Linked DNA regions of Caenorhabditis elegans. The protein of the gene in region 1 purifies or fractionates together with the protein of each later gene. This does not show direct contact. Each region holds a gene or a part of one and is shown in the gene's direction. Other genes may lie near its edges.

Region 1 (4,872 bases):
ATGAAGAAATTGATAATTTGGAAACTGAGGAGAAAAAAATAGATCAGGAATTGGCGGGAGTCGGGAAGAATGTAGATTCAGATGGGCTCCGACAAGAGCTTGAAGAACGTCAAAAAAGGCTTGAAGATGAAGCTCCAGCTCGTTCACATGAAATGCAACAGTTAGAAGCAAATGTAGCAAGTATAAGAAATGAACTTCATTCAATTCCAGGATACTCTCAAGTGAGTCGATATGGTTCTATATTAGTTTTACCAATTATAAATTTATTCCAGCACAAAATGCTTCGCGAACGACTGGAAGCTGTTGAGAAACGTACTGCTGCAAAATCACTTGACATGAGCTTGAGGAAGACTGAAATTGACTACGAAGATATTAAAACAGAGGTGTGGATTTTTTCCTAATCGAGTTAACAATATTTTACTTAATTTCAGAGCATTCGACTTCAGGAAGAATACAATAACATGCTTTTGACCAATCCATTTCAAAGATTCACCTGATTTATTAATTTTTCACTAAATTTATTTATTAAATTTACATTGAATATGCTGAACTGTTCCTGAAACAGCAAAAAAATTATTGGAAAATACTAATTAAAAAATTGAAAAATCTTTGCCTACAGTAGCTTTAAGGAACACGACAAACTTTATCTGAACATGTCTCGTCACGACTACCGTACCTTGAAATTTTCCCGCCCGATTTTCGCAATTTTCTTGCTGATGAATTTCTTTGTTTCTTTCCTGATTTTCTCGATTTTTAATCGTGTTTTTGTTTTTAGAATTTTTGGAAATTTGAGGAGAAGATATATATCAAGTATGAAGCACCCTTTCCGCAAGGTCGCCGTAGTTCCTTTTTTGTTTCCGTCGTTTTACCCTTTTCGGCGATCTTTTTGATTGATAACGTTTAAGTAAGGCTAGTTTTAAATTGAGTTTTCTCAATTTTTCTTCAATTATAACATTTCCATCATTTTTGCAGTCAAATAATATTGTAATTCTATTTAAAATATCGTTTGATTATATTTTGAGAACCTTTATTGATTGACTGTTAAATATAACGAATATATTCAACAGCTTAAACAAACAAATAAAATAAGTTCTATCTGCGCGAAAAGCTACAAAGGATACGAAGAAAAGTCAAGAAATCAATTCAAAAATTATGCCTAATTTTACATAGCCTTTTTTTTTGCTTGATAACGATATATTCACAACATTTTCTGGCTAAAGAAAGGTGGAAACGTTTTGTTGTTCTTCCAAGTTGTAGCTCGGGGGGCCGAAAAAAGTAGGCGCGATGCGGTCGACCGCGACGCAACTCATTTCTCTGCTTCTCTTTATTTCAGTAATCTTTGTTTCGTGGCGTGGTCTCGAGAAATAAATAGACGCAGGGTGTGGTGAGAAAATTGTCCGCAACCACCGCCCGGCAGCTAGATATTGAACCAATATCTCACGATAAACTTTTACCCTTTGCATACATGCTAAAATGAGAATTAAGAATACAGTTTTTATAGTAATCTGAACTTTTCGTTTTTTAAATGCCTGATAAGATTAGTTACTCGGGCTTCTGCCACGTAACATTCGTCTCTGCGTATCTCATCTTTGAACAAGCAATTTTCGTTGGCCGAGGTTTTGCGCTGCGGTCAAAACTAGGCCTTTGACGAGTTACACAAGTTGAATCCTAAACATTTTCAATCTGATCATGATAGAAACTTCTCGAATAAGCCTTTTGTCTTTTTTTAATCTCATTTTTGAAAAAAGGATATTGAAGTATGCGTTTCAATTATATTTCGTTTTACAGAACTACTCAAAATGTCGTCAGTTTCGTCCGCCGAGCCAACTGCTCAACAAAATTTCAATCCAAGCTGGTATGTGTTTGAATCTTAAAAAATAATTATTATTTAAAATTAAATGGAGTTTTTTCCAAGTAATCTAAGATATTTTTCATTTTTAACCTCTAGTTTTGAATCATAGAGCAAATGATTTTTAAATGCGTTCTTTTCAACTAAGAAGTTTATCGCTCGTATTTTTTTGTTAAAAAGGCTCTACTCGATCGTGTTTGTAGCAATATTAAAAGAAAAATAAAATAAATAATGCCGAAAACCAAAATAAAACCCAAATTCTCAAACTTGTACCTTTTTTACCACAAATTTGCTGACTGCAGCTGAAAAAATGAATAATATGAATTCCAGAATATAAAAGTTAGCAAAATCAATTAGAAATCCAAGCCACAAGTTCTTTCTTAAAATTGCGTTAAAGTCATTTCAGGATGCGTCCAAATGCTGCTAACCGTGGTGGCTCAATTTCTTCGGGAAACAATCGTTCCTCTGGATTTGGTGGGGGTGGATTTGACGATGGCGGCGATGTGAGTTTCAGAATCTACGGGAAAAAACCAGCACGTTCCACAAATATATTCTTAGCACATCTCATAATCTAGAAATTTAGAAAAAAAAGGAAAATAATTTATTTACAATTTTGTGTTTATTGGGTCATGGTCCCCGTGGTACCCGGTTTTAATATTATAATCGTCTGTCACAACATTACATCAAAAACTAAATAATTATGAATTTAGATTTTAGAATATACCTCTCAAAGTCGGGCTATCACTGACTCCCTCCCTCCATGACAAAAAACTCTTATTTTTAAAAAAAACTGAAAATGTGTTCAATTAGGAAATCTCCTCTTCGGCAATCGCTGCTGCAGCCGCCGCGGTCCTCTCTTCGCCAGTGGTTTCGGAATTCTCGTACACGCGCGAACGTCTTCTCGAGCTGGCTCCAACCGGATCGATTATGCCTGATGCGTTGCGCGATCAGCTATTTTTCAACGAGAAGAACCTGCCGCTCGTCTCGAACACGCCTCTCAGTGAACATGAACAGGTAGGGATACCACAAGAGTTTTAGAATTAGAAATAATGAAATTTATCCCACTATTGTCTGACGATTTCCAATTTTGCATGGTACTTTTTTGATAATTGACAGATTTGTTTAGGATCTATGTTTAGGATCTATATTTTATTATTCGTGTGCACATTGTATTCTAGAATTTGATGTGAACTTCTATTTTATCCAGTTTCACTGACTCTTTCGTCTAAACAAGAAAAGTATAGTGTGTCCTTGGAGGGAGGAAGGCATAGCGAGACTTTATGAGGCTCTTTGCTGTTCGTATCCCACCATTTCACTTTCCTAATGATCGGAGTAATTTGTGTTATCGAATAAGTTTATTTGTTAAACACTTTTAAGTTGAAAATGCTTAGTTTTTTCGTTTCATGTTTATGTTCCGTGGTAGAGTAGTTATTCTCTAATAAAATTTCTAACAAATCCTATTCATGAAAATTATATATTTCATTTTCAGAAACTGCAACACAACATAAACTCTTCGAAAGCAATGTCTCTTTTATCGCACGCTGATCGAGCCTCAATTGCTGCTGGAGCTGCTTATGGAAGTGGATATGGAGCCGCTTCCGGAGCACTTCAAAACGGACAATCACCAACCAGTCGCTGGGCTCCGAAATCATCTTGGAGTAAGTGTTGCGAATTTTTGTAATTAGACTTTGATACATAAAAAATAAAAACAATCTAAACAATATTGTTTAGATAAAGGCACACCGGATCGTGGCACCGGTACAACTCCTCGTGGTGGTGGATCTGTTGGTCGAGCAAGTGGAGCATTCTTTGCAGGCCGTGGTGGCGGACGAATCGGCGGAGAAAACGGGTTTGGCGGCGCGACCAATGGTGGCTCGCCAGCTGCTCAAAACGAAGATTCTCCTGGAACATATCAATCAAAGTTCAATGCACTTCGTCGTGGCGGTGGCGCGGGAAGCGTCGGTCGTGGTGGCAGCACGACGGGTTCAGCTTTTAACACTAGAGCTGACGCTTTGTACAACCCGAACGATCCAACTGGTAAGTTTTAAGGAAATTTTCTGATTGAAAATATGATCGGTATAGATCGTCCAAAGGCGGTGAATCCTGCTGCAACTCGAAGCGAGAGCGATGAAGAAGAGGAGGAAGGATGGTCGAAAGTTGGAAGTACATCTCGAACCTCCACCAATGCGGCCCCTCAATCATCTGAACGTCCTGCTTGGGCTCGTTCTGAATCTTGGATTCAACGTACACAGCAACAACAGCAACAACAACAGCAGCAATCGACTCAGCAGCAAGCACAACCTCCAATTACTCTGTGGAATAATCGAGAAGTTGGTTCTGATTCAACTGTTTGGAAAGATCGGAATCACATGGTTGCTGCGGTTAGAAAGGCATCCACAGAAAATCATCCACCACAACAACAACAGCAACAACAACAACGTTCATCTGCTCCAGTTTCTGCTCCTTCTCGGCAAGAGAGTGAATCAACGGATGTTCCGAATCTTCCTATTCCTACATATCCTTCTGATCCATCAGCGTGGTCTAATAATTCGATGGGAGGTGGTATTTTCTATCAACCAACGCCACAGCCACCAGCTCCGATTGTAAAAGAAGAACCTGTTCAGTTTTACTACATGGATCCAACAGAAACTCGTCGTGGTCCTTTCCCTAAAGATCAAATGAATGTATGGTTCAAAGCGGGTTATTTTACGGATGAATCACTTCGAGTTCAGAGAGGCGAAAACGGAGAATATAAAACGATCGGTAAGTTTATCATATTTTTGCTTTAAAAAAATAATTAATTTTCCAGGTGACCTCAAAAAATTGCATGGATCCTCGACGCCATTTGAATATTTGGAAGATATTGAGCCTCCACGCCCAATTTTGCCGTCGATCCCTTACCCGTCCGCGACGAATCCTTTGTATCCAGCTGCATTTGGTGGAGTGAACATGTGGTCAAGCATGGGTCAACCTACTGATGTATATATGATGCAGACAAATTTTGAACAGCAGCTGGTAGCCGA
Region 2 (4,034 bases), on another chromosome or scaffold:
ACTTTTGAAAAAAAACTACGCATAAACTTATAAAATCTTAATAGAGAAAATGTTATTGGAATATACATATTCTGCAATCTTTAGTTTTCGAGTTATACAGTTTTCGAGTTATACGATTTTAACAACTCAAGTGAATCAAAACCGAAAGAGAACAAAATGTCGGTAATTCAGGTCGCAATGCGACCTAGGTCGCTAGGTCGCAGGTCGCTAGGTCGCAGGTCGCAATGCGACCTAGGTCGCGATGCGACCTAACCCTCTAGGTCGCAGGTCGACCTAGGTCGACCTATAGCCACCCCTAATTCTAATATATCAGGAGATGTTTAAAAATAGTTCATGACTGCCAGATAAACACACAATTTTCAAAGCAATGTATCCGTTTTGTTGTTGTCAACTTAGGTATTAGTGCATGCGTGGTTGTAATAAGCACAAAGCTGAAATATCTAATTTTAGGAAAAGCACGTAAACTTTCTTGTTTTATCATTATCAAGTTTCACTGTAAAGTTTTTTATTATTTTCAAGTTGTCTATGGTGGAGAAATAAAAAGGTTATAGTTGAAACTTTATTGTCTTATCAGTAGTCAAAAAATTTTTGAAAACCCTCACTTTTCTGAGGTGTATTTTCTATTTTTCCAGAAGTCATATCAAACATAATACAGTAGGGTTCTAGCAAACTTTAGTGAACATTCATTGTTTGAGTGGTCTTTCCAGTTGCAACAAATACTACGTATTTAGATAAATATCAAAAAATTATAAAACCTAGCTACTGTACCAGCCAAAAATTAGCTAAAATGATGATTTTATCTTTAAAAAAAATTCAAACTAGTGTTTTAACCAGCAACAGTGTAAACCTTTATAGAAGTATATGTGATTCGTCGTCAAAAATGCAAGGCAATCGTTTTTTTCAAGTTTTTTTAATGATAATGCTGAAATCTTGAAAGTTTGCTGAAATGTACTAAAAACTGAGTACTACTTTGTATTTATCTGGCTGTAACTGTTTGTGAGCTGCAATTACTTTAATACAAACCAACATTTTTATAGCGCTTTTTCAGAGCAAAATACATGGCGTAAAAAACAAGTATGTACATGTGTTTTGTTTGTAACTTTTCTTTTGTTGCTTGGTAAAGATGTCAATTTAATATTGTTATTGAATATCACAATATAATGTAGGCAATCTGCTACTTCAAACATTTGAGACAGCAAGACACGCAGGCATCTCGACAAAACGGCGCTGCTGGGCAGAACAGGCCGGCCAGTGTCGGCAGTGGAAGAGGGCGACGGCGACCGTCCGTCTTTTGGCCGCATGTTCTCCCCCATTTTTCCTCTCCCTTGCAAACACTTTTTATTCTCTTTCTACGGTTTGCAATTCTGCCAATTCTGCAGTGTTTCGGCGAAATGAATTTTCTTAGTTTAAACTGGGAAACTATTAAGCGGCAGTGTGATAGGCTTGGTTGCCACAAAAAAGTTACTCGTTTTGTTTTGCAAATTTACAAAATTTTTAACAAGTTGCTAAATTCCTTTTTTAAGTCTTTTTTAAATATACAATTCCAATGCAAAAAAATATCCCAATGCGTCACATGTTCTATATTTTCCTTCATCACTCCTCGTCTTGCATGTTTTTCAAATACAACTGTTATGTGAATACCCTTTCTGAAAGAAAATTATTATTTACGCCCAACGTTCTTTCAGTTGACTTAACATCACTCAATAGTTTCCTTTTTCAGTTACTTGGGTATACTCATAATGGAAGAACCCCACCCAGCACCAAGGAATGATCGAGATGCGGAAGGTGAAGAGGCTAGGCACGCTTTAAGGATGGAGAGACAACTTGCAATTCGTGAGGGACGTTATCTGCCTCCACTCCCACAACTTCCACCATTGATCCAGCTGATTCCTGTGCACCGCGCTCAGGCGAACGAAGCTGTCGATAGAGCCATTGAATTTCAGCTAAACCAGAGGCGGCAGTTTTTGCTGCAACACCTTCGACCTGAGCATTTTCAGCCTGGTGGATTCTTTGATCCGCAGCCAGAGGGAAACTATCATCCTTTGTCTCCACAACATAGTGACGAAGAGCTTGATGACGCGGAAGAGGAGATTGAGAGACAGCGACGAATCCGCCAAAACTGGAGAAACTACATGAACCAGAGAGTTGATCCCATTCCACAAGAGATCGTTGACCGCTTGCTCCGGGAATACGACAATTGGGCAAGAGCCGCGTTAAACAATAACAATGGAAATTTTCGAAACTACAATGCGATGCTCTCCCCATCACCATCTCCATCACCAAATGCATCACCAGCACCGTCAGACGACGAAGATCCGATGGAGCACGTGAATTCTGATGATGAAGATGTCGAGATGCTTAATGCTCAAATGATGGAAATGCGTCCCAATCAGCCGAGACCAAGAAAGCGTCATAATTCTCAAGGACCATTACCGATCAAAAGGAAAAGAGTCACTTTCAAGGAGGACTCTTCAGATGAGGTTCGGAATTTTTCGGGCTTTTGAAATTTTTTGCAAAACACCCAAAAAATTTTACAATATAATCATACAAAATTCAAAATTTCAGGCCATCAACTCATTCGATGAGGACAGCTCCGATTGCAATGACAATGTTCCAGTCAACCGTAAACGTGAGGAATAAACATAATTAATTCAGCGAGTCAGCTAATGTCAAAATGTTTAGAATATGACGACGACGACGAGGGATTTTTCGGAGGACCCCCGGCACGCCACAACTCCTTTGTTGCATAGAAGTAAATCTCAAATTAACCAACTTTTCTTCAACACACTTTTACCAATTTTTCTAACGAGAAACTACCGGTTCCCCGGTGGCACCGTACGCCATTTTCTGTGAATGTTTTTTTTCAAACCCCGTTTTTCTTTCTTTCTTTCCATTTCTGTCCGACTCATTTCCGCCACATTTCCTCGCCAATCCACTTCCCCGCACCACTTGGGATCTCGTTTCATTTTCATGACTGTTCTTCTGGAAATTTAATCACAAAGTCCAAAACTCATTTCTCATCCTGTTTTATACTCTCAATTTACTTTTTGAATTAACATTATCGTCATTAATTTTAATTGGGAATTTTGAACATAATACAATTTTATGTGAAATTACAACCTAAAACATAAATATCACAGAAAAATACATAAAGATTGGAATGTATGTGAAACTGTAACTAGTAAAATTGTTCAATATGATCGATGGGTTTCTGAGTGATGTAGGACAGATAACAATTCCAGAAGAATGCGACGACCTGAAAAATTAATTGAAAAAATAAACTGATTGATGTGTTTCGTTTCAATGGCGTGATAAACTGTCTAATAAAAATTGAACCTTTTAAACAGTTGTATTTTGGTTATGATTTATTCTTCAAACTTTGGTCAAAATGTACCTGGTTAAGTATTACTCGATAATTGAGTGGAACAAAGCACAAATTCACAACTTGAACAAATGGCCAAACCTGGAATAGTATTTTTGTACGACATAAATTTTTGAGTGCTTGGCAATAATAAAAAATGATTTGGAAGTTAGTTAGGTTTCACGCTGACGTGGCGCATGTTTTCTGTCAAAAATTCACTTTTATTGTAATTTTCATTACGTGTAAATTGCTTCTAAATCAGAAAACTTCTTAATAAAGCTTTGCTGATCGAGATAATGTTTTGAAATTATATATGTATTACTTCACAAAATAAGCAATTCTACTACAATCAACCTTATTTTTCACATAATTTTTAACAGTTAGAGGCCTTTAAATGTTTATAATACAAGTTGAAAAACAGTTTTCAGCAATATGGTGATGATGCTATTGATACTTTATTTTTATTCGAACTATTTCTCCTCAGCATCAGTTTTTGTTCGTCTTCCTCCAAATCTATGTTGATCCAATCCTCATTTTGTGAATATCAATGCATCCTCTTTTTATTGTGCACTCTTTCAATTTCGGGATAAAGCTCTGCTCTTTTGGCGAGGACGAGTCGCAAATGCGACACTCGCGCACACGACGACGAATCGCACCAGCGATTCACCACGTC

The links.
Region 2: the proteins of gyf-1 (region 1) and T18D3.6 fractionate together in Caenorhabditis elegans (co-fractionation; one large-scale study listed by BioGRID). This does not show direct contact.

The regions. Positions count from the first base shown.
Region 1 is NC_003280.10:6,682,450-6,687,321, forward strand, and holds the start of gyf-1 (GYF domain-containing protein gyf-1), read left to right. Parts: upstream 1-1,788; 5' UTR 1,789-1,799; coding exon 1,800-1,855; intron 1,856-2,246; coding exon 2,247-2,352; intron 2,353-2,659; coding exon 2,660-2,863; intron 2,864-3,083; exon of another isoform or gene 3,084-3,232; intron 3,233-3,338; coding exon 3,339-3,507; intron 3,508-3,580; coding exon 3,581-3,886; intron 3,887-3,931; coding exon 3,932-4,612; intron 4,613-4,658; coding exon 4,659-4,872. Other genes in the region: ift-74 (Intraflagellar transport protein 74 homolog), read left to right, coding at 1-221, 273-383, 432-497.
Region 2 is NC_003284.9:12,448,178-12,452,211, forward strand, and holds T18D3.6 (uncharacterized protein), read left to right. Parts: upstream 1-1,714; 5' UTR 1,715-1,739; coding exon 1,740-2,480; intron 2,481-2,565; coding exon 2,566-2,629; intron 2,630-2,682; coding exon 2,683-2,750; 3' UTR 2,751-3,178; coding exon of another isoform or gene 3,179-3,256; 3' UTR 3,257-3,266; downstream 3,267-4,034. Other genes in the region: T18D3.9 (Mitochondrial inner membrane protein Mpv17), read right to left, coding at 3,179-3,256, 3,395-3,463.